2 linked regions of the Drosophila melanogaster genome follow. The protein of the gene in region 1 interacts with the protein of each later gene in a biochemical or structural test. Each region holds a gene or a part of one and is shown in the gene's direction. Other genes may lie near its edges.

The links.
Region 2: the proteins of yem (region 1) and Ubx form a complex in vitro, tested with the Drosophila melanogaster proteins (one study listed by BioGRID).

The regions. Positions count from the first base shown.
Region 1 is NT_033777.3:29,117,830-29,125,243, reverse strand, and holds yem (yemanuclein), read left to right. Parts: upstream 1-2,364; 5' UTR 2,365-3,042; coding exon 3,043-3,282; intron 3,283-3,337; coding exon 3,338-3,559; intron 3,560-3,627; coding exon 3,628-4,447; intron 4,448-4,507; coding exon 4,508-4,655; intron 4,656-4,721; coding exon 4,722-4,961; intron 4,962-5,023; coding exon 5,024-6,362; coding exon of another isoform or gene 6,363-6,659; 3' UTR 6,660-6,914; downstream 6,915-7,414. Other genes in the region: Atg14 (Autophagy-related 14), read right to left, coding at 7,131-7,285, 7,348-7,414. UniProt on the Drosophila melanogaster protein: May play a key role in egg organization. May be a transcriptional regulator having a role in chromatin remodeling in concert with Hira, a histone chaperone. Involved in chromosome segregation by affecting kinetochores function in the first meiotic division.
Region 2 is NT_033777.3:16,731,111-16,736,394, reverse strand, and holds the start of Ubx (ultrabithorax), read left to right. Parts: upstream 1-1,968; 5' UTR 1,969-2,931; coding exon 2,932-3,697; intron 3,698-5,284. UniProt on the Drosophila melanogaster protein: Sequence-specific transcription factor which is part of a developmental regulatory system that provides cells with specific positional identities on the anterior-posterior axis. Binds the consensus region 5'-TTAAT[GT][GA]-3'.

The DNA.
Region 1 (7,414 bases):
TGGGTGGTCGTGTTGGCGGTGAAGCCAACCACCAGCGGCTCTTTTTGTTCTAGTTTATTTGTTAGTTTGGTTGGGGAAAGTACGATGAGTAAATGAAATTGTCGGCGACAAAGTGCGGTTTGATTATATCAACGACAGGCGGCCAACGATCCCTTTTGGATTGAACCACAATTAAATAATATTTCTTCCTATGTTTATGAATAAGACTGTTTAACCTTTTAATGATCAATGAACCTAGCTCTGTAACAAAGTTTTCTACTGGATAAATGAACTTTAAGAATGGCTTTGGATGGGCTGGTGAATTATCCATAATTATTGCTAATACATTCTCCTACAGCAGACTCATTTAATTAATCATGAAAGCAAATAGAGAGCAGAAATAAATAAAGTATCGCTCATTCGGTTTAAGAGCTCCCCTGATAACGATAGCGATCGCAACTGTACGAACCTCTTGGGGATGCGAAAATCTGCGAAGAGGTAGCAGTAAAGCAGCTCGAGCATGTCGCAAATCGGCAATAATGACGCATTAAAAAGCAAATTAAATTTGTGCGCTCACTTGTTGCTGTTGTTTGATTGTTTATGTGTATCGCTTTATTTTTGTGTGCGGCTTCTGTCCATTTGAGATGAAAAACTGGCTGCCGCCTTTAATAGATGAATTACCAAAAAAACACACAAGTTTTCATAGAAAATGGGAAACCAATTTGGGTTGGCAAGGCATTTGGGGCCACATGTTTCAAGGTCGATTGCCGTAACTCCATTTTGGTGTAGGAATTTCAATGTCTGGGAGTAGAGTTTATCATTCAAGCAGTGCTACGGGCAACACTCTCAGTAGCTAACCTTTTTTTCTTGCAAAGAAACTTGTAGACATGATAAGAAAACGGGTGTTCGTTTTGATATCTAACCCATTTGCATAATTTGTAGTGTAGAAAACTGGTTTAAACCTAAGTTGTCCTTGCATCGAGTGTTTACTGTGTTCACCTTGGACTACGTCACTTGAGATAAAAGAAAGCAGTCGCAGTTCTGATCTTATCTTATAATGGTAGTCTCTTGTTTCCCATATGAACGATTTCCCCTTGTTGTTTTTTGGAACTACAAATGTACAAGGCCCCGTAATTTCGTAATGAAGCAGTATTACTCACCTTTGCTTCGGAGCCGAACGATTCTTCCAGAGATGTAACAAAGGAGCTCCACTCTTCTCGTCGCTTTTCCTTTCTTTCTTAAAGTTCCTTTATTGTCTCATGACACTTTTTTACGAGCGGCTGGGGGCTTTTTGTTTAGCTGGTTTCCTGGGACGGAGTCACTACTCCGGCGAAAGTCACCGGACCACTGAAAGCGGGAAGCCTTTGTCGGAGCTCCGTATCCCGTACGTTGCTCTTTGGACGTCGGTCACTTGCATTCGTTGGATAAATATGTACATACATACATAAAAGAGCTCGAGTGGGGCTGCAAGCATAAAGGCAGCATAAGTGTTTATGTGCTAGTGTTTGTGTGGTGCCACTTGGGGATTGGGGGTGGGGGAGTTGGGGATTGGGTTGGATTGGATTGTGAAAAGAGCAGCACGGCACACTTTTGTTAATTGCACAATCCTAATCGTTTTCACCCGATAACGAGCACTGGCCATTCCCGTTATAATAACACCTTGCAGTTTCGACCGAATTCGAATTTCTGTGCATGCAACTCTTTTCGTTTCGCTTGTTTTTGTTGTGGAGCGGGCGCATGAAATTAAGCCCCCAAGCTCACGTACTGCGACTCACTTGCACTTGCGCTAATTAAACGGCGAGCACTTGACTTTCTACGAAGTAAACTCCTTCACAATCGAAATAATACTGAATCGCCCCAAGAAAATCTGCCCACCACCCGCGGCCCCATACTCTGAACAGCTGTGCCGAACAGTGCTGCACAACGGCCCGTTCTGGTCAAAACAAAGCAGAAATGTGTGTGGAATGTGGCACTGCACAGGGATGCACAAAAGCTAGTGCGAGTGTTGGCCGCTTTCAAGCCAGATCTCGTTACTTGTTGGAAAGTTTTAGAGCCGCGTAAGTTATAAAAAAGTTTACATTATATTTTGATTTTGGGTCCTTTTTAAACAATTAAGCTTACAACAGCATAAGCCACCTATATATTTTACGTAACCTATCAACTTGGTAGCTCGAAACTTTACTTTAAAAATGAGCTAGATGCCAAGCTAATGAATTTCTAACTAACGGAATTTTGGAAATACATAGCACCCATAACAACTAAATATTGCCAAATGCAGCCAGCCGCAGCAAGTCTCGGCTTGTGCTGCGCGCAGTGTGAACGGCTCGGAGTAATTTGCGAAAACCGCGACCAGTGCTGCGCAACGCGAGTGCGAAAGCCAAAAGCAGGGTCGGATCTTTGGTGCGGGGTGGAGCGGAGAGAATGTAGCGTTGAGGATTTTAACAAGAAACAATTTAAGAATCGCGCTCCTGGCCGTGCGAAAAGCGCCTGGTCGAATCGTTTAAATGTCCCCTTTGGTAGCGTCGATTGCGTGTGTTTAATCCCCGGTGCGCTGCTTTTACAGACTGTGTTGTTTTCGTGCCGGCAAGCCAACCAATTTGAAACCCCCCAAAAAGTTTCCACTTTTTCATTCCCCCAGAAAAGTGACAATTATTCGTGGCCGTGGTCGGCGGATGCAGCTGCAAAGCGGGCGGCGATTAAAGTAGTGCAATCCGGCGCAGGTCCTCGCCATTTGTTTATGTTGATAAAGCAGTGTTTGTGGGGCGACAACAAGAAAGTGCAGCTCAGAGTGAAATTGCCACGGTTATTAAGTGGTTGTGGTTGCTTGGTGTACGTGCAGAAAACCTAAAACAGACATCCCCAGAAGAAGAGGAAGCAGCGGAAAAGGAGGAGGAGGAGCATCAGCAGCAGCGACGTCTCTGTTGTTTTTGTTTGGCTGCGAGAGAGAGAGAGGGAAAGAGCAACGAAGAACACGCGGCTCTTTCGAAAAAAAAGGGCGGGAAGGCCCTTTCGGCTCAAAGGAAACCCTATCCCACTGAATATCCGTAACTCTGCCCGCCGGAAATGTCAAAGGGGGGCGAGCACAAGCGCGTCACCCTCACCTCGATCATCCAGGGCGATGCGGGCTTCTCGCGCTTCGGCAGCAACATCCTGGAGCCTGATGCTGCGTCCGCTGCACCCGACAACAGCTCCAAACCCACGACAAAGACTGCCAAGTGCATCCGCATCAAACTCGATCTGTTCGAGACCGATTCGAACAAGTATCCCGAGTTTAACTACTCCCGGCTTTTGTATTTGGAAAAGGTAAGAGTGTATAACTCAGTTGGAGGATCGCTTTCTAAACCCTTGCAATCCGTAGAAAAAGACCAAAAAGCTGAAGCAGGTGAGCACTACCAATGGCTCCGCAAGCACTGATCCCTTTGCCGACAACGATGACGATGTGGCACGGATCGTCAAGGAGCTGGAGGCCAAGTATGGCAACTCCTATGCCACAGGCAGGGGGAAGAGCAAAAAGGACGACTACCGGGACATTGGAATGGGCTACGATGAGTCGGACTCATTCATCGACAACACGGAAGCCGTAAGAACAAGAAATATTTCCGACGAATGCACTGAAATTATTTACCTTAAACTCTATGTTCTGTCCAGTACGACGAAATCATACCGGAGGAGGCGGAAACTCTGGAGGGCGGCTTCTACATCAACTGTGGCGCACTGGAGTTCAAGAACCTCACCAAGAAGTCCTACACCACTCGAACAGATGCCATCATCAAAATGCCAGAGCGATCACGCAAGCGCATGGTCTCGTCCAGCTCGGAAAGCTCATCGTCATCCTCGGGCGATGATGACGAAAACGATGATGGCAACAATGAGGAGGACGACGAGAGCGATTCCGAGGACGACTCCGAGGAGAACGATGAAAGCGACTCCGAAGACGACTCCGAGAGTGAAAGTCTTGAGGACGAGGACTCTGCTGCTACAGCCAAATCCAGCAGCAAGTACAAAGACAATCATCAAGCTAAGCGGGCCAAGGTCATCGTTACGGGCAAGTCCAAACCAAGCTCAAGTTCTTTGACGAGTGGCAAGAAGCCGCCGACTAAGCCGATCACCACTTCCTCATCCTCAAACTCGCCACGACCCAGCACGGTGGAGATTTCGGACACGGAAGACGGCCAAGACCCTATCCAGACTCAGCCATCAAGTCAGCTTCAGTCCCTGCCGCAGAGTCAGGCCCAGGCGCAAGCTTTAAAGAAGGTGGTTAAGACCACAACGGTCAAGGACATGCTAAAGGCCAAGCGAGACAGCTTCCTGAAGTCGCAGAGCGGCACGGCAGCTGTCAAGGGCGTCGGCAACGGCGAGCTGAAGTGTGTTTCCACCGACGTGTCCAGCAGCGATAGCAGCGATATGGAGTCTGAGCACGGCCGGGCAGATAGGCAGGCCGGTCAGCATGGCAAGGATGGGCAGGAAAGTGAGTTACATATACAGTATTAGTTGGTTGAAATCACCCTTTCACGTGTTCATTTTTAAGATCTTCGCACCGCCGACACTCTGCTCCCCACCACATTGGATGCGGACATTGTGACCGCAGTCAACAGCTTCAAAGAAGCGGTGAAGAGTCGAGACATGTGCGGCAAGAAGTTTAATCTGGATGTGAAGCTTTCGCCACTACTGCTTCGGTGAGTTTGCAGCCGATGTAAACATCAAGTACAGATTTAAGGCTTATATCCATTAACCTACACCAGGGTGTACGAGGCGGTGCTGTGCACGGACCGCAACGAGCGCAACATGGTCTTCTCCCACATCGAGTATCAGCTGCAACTGCCCAAGTACTACATGCTGCGCAAAGGGAAACAAGTGCGGGCGAAGGAGGAGAAGAGGAAGTCCACCATTATGCTGGAGAAGCTGCGGCGGGCTGTAGCTGTGGTCATGCCTAAGGCGGTGGCCAACTATGAGACGGAACTGCGCACATTTGCTGAACAGGCGTAAGATTGTTGTTAAGCGAAATAACGATTAGGTTCCTTTAGATTATGATTATTATTTTCAGAGCTGCGGACGTGAACTCCGAACTGCCGCCCAAAATGCCGCGTAAGAAGTTCCAGTGGACCAGCGAGCTACGCCATCTGCTGTACGATGTGTACCAAGCGCGTTGGACGTCCTACGCTTTCCTAGCCAAGCGCAAGGAATCGTTGGAGGAGTTCATCAATTGGTATCTCAAGGAAAAGGTGGTGGAACTGTGGCCGCCAGGCTGGATGCGTTTGGATGAGTTGCAAAGGGAAATAACACGCTACAAGAACGCCAAGCTGAAAGCAAAGGAGAAGCCAAAGGCACCGCCGGCGTCCGCATCGCCCAAGCCCGTTGGAGTTGTATCTGCTCCTGAGCAAATGCCGCCGGCAAGCAGCTACCTAAAGGCAGTGGAGGACCCTCGATCTCGAGGTAACTCCGATACGGACTCAGCTACAAGTGCCTCCTCCAACAGTCTGAAGCGAAAGCTGAAGGAGATGCCCAAGCAGACCAGCAAGCCGCCAAAGAAAAAGGTGGCTAAGCAGGTACCGCTGCAACCGCAACTTACTCCGCATCCGCAATTCCAGCTGGCGCCGGCTGCCACGGCGGCCGTCAGTATACCAGCCATTAGCAATAACAACAACCACCTGCCCCACCTGGACACGCTGCTCTCCATGCCGAGCACCTCGGCTCAGGCAGCAGCACTCAATGCCGCCGCCGTAGCAGCCGCCAGTACGGTTCTGGATCTGGCATCCCCTAGCCGGAAAATTGACCTTAACACCAGCAACAATTTCTACAATCTGATCACGGCCGCCTCCCTGGCAGCCAGCGGGAATCCCAGTCCGCATTCTGGAGACGGCCAAGCCAAGGTGATTGTGGGAGCTCGGCCCTCTCCCCATGTGATCAACCTGGATGACTATCAATGCACCAGCGATATACTTCAGACGTCCAAGCAGCTAGCTGCCACCACCACTGTCATCACCGCCATCTCAAAGGCCGCGCAAACGACGTCGGTAGCCAGGGAAAGCAGCAGCGAGTCGGATGGCGTTGAGATTGTGGGAGTTTTTCCTGCCTCTAAGCCCCAAAAGAAAGTCCAGTCTAAGCCCAAGAACAAGACTCAGAACAGAGGTCGGTCGTCTTTGGGTGCGGTGGGGCAGGTAAATGGATCCCTGGGCTACAGCGCGAATAACATGTATATCTACAATAGCCCAAGAACGCTGGGTCCAGTGTACGATCTCACCGATCCGCATATAATGAAAACTATGTCAAATCTGAAGGAAATGGAAAAGCAATTCATTCAAGCGGCTTTCTCGCCGAACAGCGTCAAGGGCGCAAGCGGAGGAATGGGATCCTCAGCGCCCAGTACGCCCACGCGCCAATGACATTCGGGATCGGCCGCACAGCAGCCCCTTCCGGCTGCTGTGACGGCCTTTTACAACCAGGAGGCGATGGCCGCCGCCATCGTGCTCTCCACGATGAGCCACGCCTCGCCGCGCTACGACCTGCTGGCCAACGGCTCCGTCTCCATGTCCGCCGCCCAGGTGGGAGCCTCTGCCAACACACTGCCACAAGTATTCGTTAAACCCAGCCTGCCGCAGCCCAGCGCTGGCGGCGATGTGGTGACCACGACTGGAGCTGCTCGCCCATCCACGCAACAACTGCCCACAAAGTTCATTTAGCTAGGGTCACTCAGCTCGTTCCCTTGCGATTCTAATCTAAGATTCTAGTGCTGATTCTAGGTAGGTTTCATTCGCAGCTGTGTCTGCCGATTTTCCAATTATTGCACCAGTTTAATTATTGTTTCTCATTGAGTCGTTTACCTACTAAGTCAGTGTACTATGCAAGCATTAATAAAGCAAATTTATATATATTTATTTATAGAGAACCATTTTTATTAAATAAAGGCGAATAAGTTATGTAATAGAAATAAATCCAAAAGGCGCATTTTCTTTACACACAGCGAATATATATGTATATATATAATTGATACAAAATTAGTTCTGTAAACCAAAGGATAACGCTAAAACCAGCAACTGCCGATAAACACCGACGTGCTGTCACAGAAACGATTACTTAGTCTAATTTGTAAAAGATAACACGCGTGTCTCATGATGATATAGCCGAAAGATCGGACGTCTGTTGGTCTGCGATCATTTGATCCAGCGCAGCACCGATGTGGCCGCCATTCGCACGAAGGCGATGGTAGACTGCTGGTTGGCCGCCGGCATCAGATTGGGATCCGCCAGCTCCGGCTGCGGTGTCAGGCTGGGCACCGCCTCCCAGTCCATGCGCAGAGAGTTTTCGTCTGGAAAGGCATCAGCATCAGTTTGAAAAGATTATTCCCCTCAAATTGCTAAACCAACTCACCCTCTGACTCCGATTCCGTGGCGGTCTCGATGCCGATTAGTAGGGAGTCCACTGACTTCATGAGTGG
Region 2 (5,284 bases), about 12 Mb from region 1:
TGGAAGAATTAGATTTCTCAGAACTAAAATACATCAATTCATAATCGAGCAGTAACTCGAGCAGCAAACTCGAGAATGCAGAACGGAGGAAAAAACAATCATCGATGTCGAACAAAAACAAAACTGCGGGTTCCAACTTTCTGCAGGAGGAGGAGCTCCTGCAGGAGGTAACGAGAGCAACGAGAGGAGCAGAAGCCACAGAGGGGAACTGGCGCTGCCCCATTGCATACCCCACCATAACGTAGCAAGTTTGAATATACTCGTACCCGTAAGATTCCCGAGTATATTAGGTAGCAAAATTTTTACGAGCTCATTATGGCTCATTTCGGCGATTGTTGTGATCCTTTTATGCGCCTTCGAATGGCTTCAAATGGTTATGAGGCTATTTCTCTGTCATCCCCGCGAGTCCTTCGCACTCGTGTCCTTCCCCTGGGTCCCAAATGCGGGATAGCGAGTTTCTGGGTCCTGGATTCCCGACTCACGATATTTAGTTTGCAGTTGCGACTGCGATTTTTACTTTACTTTTGCTTTGCTCTGGGTCTTCTCGCCTTTTGGCTTCGCTTTTCCTTGGGCTTTTGGTCGCATATTTAGAAAATGTCGCCGCGTCTCCGAATGTGATTCAAGTGTTTGTCAGTGTGTGTGTGTGTGTGTGTATGTGGTGGTGCGTATCTGTGTTTTGTGCAAGTTTTTGTATCTTTCGCTTGTTGTTGATTTTTAAGACTTGGCACCGAAAATTTGGTCGGCGGAAAATGGCGCGAGCAGGGGTTGGAAAAGTAGAAAAGTAAATTTCTTCTTATAATAAGTTTATTTTGCAAACACTTGTGGCAAGCAACTTTGTTTGGTCGCCGTCGGTTTCTGGCTTAATCTACGAGCCGTTTGTGCGAATGTGGAAACTTTGACAAATATTTGCGAAACTTTCGCGAATGGCGCGGCGTTCTCGGTCTGCAAGACCCCGATCTATTTGCATTATGCATATGAATTTATTAGCATCAATTCCCACCATATTTACATTGACATTAATATCCCATTGAAAGTATTGGCGAACGGATTGAACATTTGGATTCGAATGCGAATTTGAATTTGAATAGGAAAAGGAAAACCGCAGCACACAAATTTTCCGGATCCCTGGCTTCTATTACCGTACAATGCCGAGTTGGGGTTGACTTATTATCAATAAACTAATGCTAAACACGAGACTTTTAATAAATAAAAAATAATGTCTTCATTAATATATTATAATTCGTTTTTAAAGGCCTAATAAAGCCTTTAAGTGATAAGTATCTTTTTATGCCATACCACATTGAATTAAGCTTATAGTTTTTGAGGTAAAGGTAAAAACGATTAATTTACTAATATTTTTCTAAATTGTGAAACAATTTATACGATATTTACTTCCATAGAAATTAAATTAATAATTACAATATTCCGACTATTCTAATAAATATATTTTTTAAAACAAAAACTTTTTTGCACTTCGTTGTGTGCAAATTATTCCCCAAAATATTGAACAATTAAATAATGACCAGCTTAAACTGAATAGAATTAGATACAAATAATTTGCGTAAGCCATATTCTAGCACAAAGATTGGGAACTGAAACTGTAGTCATAAGTGCGCTAAAACCGAGCAAATACGGGATGCGCATCGTTTGGCGTGCAACTGGCAACTGGCGGGCAGCCCGTCGAGCGTTTTTCGCCACTCAGTTGAAGGAAAATCAGCCCTCCTCCATGATGAATTTCCCGCGGCGAGCGCATTTTCCTTCCTCGCGAATGAATGAACGAGAGGCGCCCACCCCGATAAACTTAAACTGAACGAACACTCAAGAGAGAGCGCAAGAGCGCTCAAAAACAATCTGGTTTTGAGCGTTTCGCTGGCTCTCTGTTTCTGTTTTCCACTCGTTTTTAGGCCGAGTCGAGTGAGTTGAGTCGGCAGAGCAAAGTCAAAACACTGGCAACTGCGATTTGGTGCCACATTCGTTCGATGGCAACGGATTGGATAACAGGCGCGCGCTTTGTTTTATTATCCACATTATCAGCGGCATTATTGTTATTATTGGCCCTCAGCGCTTTACCGCTCGCCCACGCGTCCGCCCGTGAATGCCGCGCGGAAAAGTCGCTTTCCACTAGATTGGCGTCCAGATTCGAGGAAATCCGTCAGCAGACGCATTCGCGCCCGTTCGGTCAGCACTATGGCTAATAATCGTTCAAATCGTTAAAACCATAAAAATAATAATAATAATTGCAATAACAATAAACATAGTAATAATCGTAACGCTTACGAGCCTTTGATAGTGCCAAGGCAAGCGCAATCCAAGTATTCAAATTCGAATTCAATTAACAGCAAAGTGCAATTGGCTAAAAACCGAAACCAAAACGCAACAAAGTATACGAAACACTTGTGAAACCGTACAAACAATTGTGGAAAAAAATTTAAAGATTATTAAGATTGAAGTCTCAATAAACATTAGTGCTTAAATAAATTTAAAACGACCCGCGTGGAGAGTGCAATAAAAAGAATAACTTTTGAAATAAATATTTACCAAACAGAAAAATATTTTATAAATATTTAAATAAGTGAAAAACAAATTGGTTACTCTGAAACAAAGAAAATTCAAATTGGTGCTAAAACAAAGGAGAAAAAATTTCAAGAATATTTTACAAATAATAAGACATATTTAACTATATAAAACCAAACTTAATCAACAAAGACTTGGAGTGAAAATATAAAATAAATTTTAAAAAGAGTTTAACAAAATTTGTTTAAATCCAAAGGAGGCAAAGGAACAGCACAGAAAGCGAGGAAACACTCAAATAAAATCCGCCAAAAATCGCAGATCCCTGGAAACCAATTCGTGTGAAATCGGTCAAGCCCCCAACGACTTTTAGCCCGTCTCAGACGGAGCACCGCCAAGATTCTTACCGCCAGCAGCGCAATGAACTCGTACTTTGAACAGGCCTCCGGCTTTTATGGCCATCCGCACCAGGCCACCGGAATGGCAATGGGCAGCGGTGGCCACCACGACCAGACGGCCAGTGCAGCGGCGGCCGCGTACAGAGGATTCCCTCTCTCGCTGGGCATGAGTCCCTATGCCAACCACCATCTGCAGCGCACCACCCAGGACTCGCCCTACGATGCCAGCATCACGGCCGCCTGCAACAAGATATACGGCGATGGAGCCGGAGCCTACAAACAGGACTGCCTGAACATCAAGGCGGATGCGGTGAATGGCTACAAAGACATTTGGAACACGGGCGGCTCGAATGGCGGCGGGGGTGGCGGCGGAGGCGGTGGTGGCGGCGGAGCGGGCGGAACAGGTGGAGCCGGCAATGCCAATGGCGGTAATGCGGCCAATGCAAACGGACAGAACAATCCGGCGGGCGGTATGCCCGTTAGACCCTCCGCCTGCACCCCAGATTCCCGAGTGGGCGGCTATTTGGACACGTCGGGCGGCAGTCCCGTTAGCCATCGCGGCGGCAGTGCCGGCGGTAATGTGAGTGTCAGCGGCGGCAACGGCAACGCCGGAGGCGTACAGAGCGGCGTGGGCGTGGCCGGAGCGGGCACTGCCTGGAATGCCAATTGCACCATCTCGGGCGCCGCTGCCCAAACGGCGGCCGCCAGCAGTTTACACCAGGCCAGCAATCACACATTCTACCCCTGGATGGCTATCGCAGGTGAGTGTCCTGAAGATCCGACCAAAAGTGAGTGTCCACTGCAGCACAAGTCCACTGAAAGTCCCCCGAAATCCCATCCCTTCTGTCCTCATCCCTGCAGTGCCAAAGCTTTGTTGTTTTCCCAGTTGTTATCAAGCTCAACAGATTGCAGCTATGGCAACAAAAGTCATCCTGTGATTAATTGCCGTCTCTGCTCCAATTAACAGACAAGTCAACATGTAAGGCAATATAATGAAGAGCTCGAATCGATCATGGGAAAAACAGATAACAACTTGTAATGTAAGACATATGAAAGCAGGCAGAACAGACCTTTTTATGGCAGGTTCTTAGGGAAAAGACACAACACCTTATTGGCAATCAAAAACTTTAAGCGATTTAAAAAAAACAAAAACTAAGAATGTATTATGGTTATAGGAAGCCAAAAAACAGTCCTAGTTAATATTGTGTATATTCAAATTGGCTGAAAAGTTTAGAAAAAAAGATGTGATAATACTTGGTAAAAAAATTAAAAATTTTAATAAAAAATAGTAAAATTATATTCTTCAGAGGAAAAAAATTAGGACAAGTATTTTAGATTTATTAAGTGTTAAAAAGGCAAAAACCCCCTTGGCTAACTCAAAATTATTTTCCAATAATTCTATTTAAAGGCACCCATTTGCGTGGCCATAGTTTATTCGCTGGCCGCCAATTTCAGCGATTTAATCACTCTAAGCGAGATTTTATGGCTGTGATCTCGCTTAGAGTGATTAAATCGAGTGAAGAGCCATGAGTAGCTAAAATAAAAAAATAAAAAAAACCAGCTCAGACCCTTCGATTTCACCTGCTCCGCTCCGCGACACCTTGCAGCGCTACGTCTGCCTCATAATTTTCAACACTTTGTTTACTAATTTTTGTCACCTTTGCTTTTAATGATGCTCGGCGGTAATTGTTGCAGCGCTGGCAGCCCAAGTGAGCTGCAATTTGTGCAACAAGAGAGCGGCAACGAGCAGCGTGAGTTATGGCATGCGGCTTAAAAAGAGCTGCAAAATAGCAACGGAGAAGTCAAGAAATAGCAAAAGGCAGCAAAGGCAGCCACAGGAGTCGGCGAGAAAGGGCAAGAATCCTTTCAGGACACACACTGCGCGCAGAAGTCGCGCTTATTACGGTTAACTACGCCATTATGTAATTACGTTCAGCCCCTCACCGCTCGACTTTTCCACGGGTTTCAGTCACCAGCCGAGCGAGGCGAACGGCTTGCGTCTGGGCCGAGATTGCCGTTTGGGCCAAGAACAAAGCCAAGAGTAGGTCAGCCGAAGGAGGTCTAGGTGCTCGAAGATCGAACGTAAACTGCACTCAAGCTGGCACTAAAGAAATAGGGAAAATAGAGGGCTTACAAGTTATTATTTTCAAATTAAATAAATTGTTAACTTACAAATTATTACTTTTTTTTTAATTGTTCGAAAGACTCAAAAAATTATTTGTATTATCCGCTAATATTTTTTGTCTGTGTATAAAAGGGAGCTTGCAAAATACCCTTCAAAAATCAATCAAATTTCACTTATAGCCAACGCGAAGAGCTGGTTAAAAAACAATTAAAGTTGAACTAAATTCGAGAGCCTTGCGACAGGTTTTCCA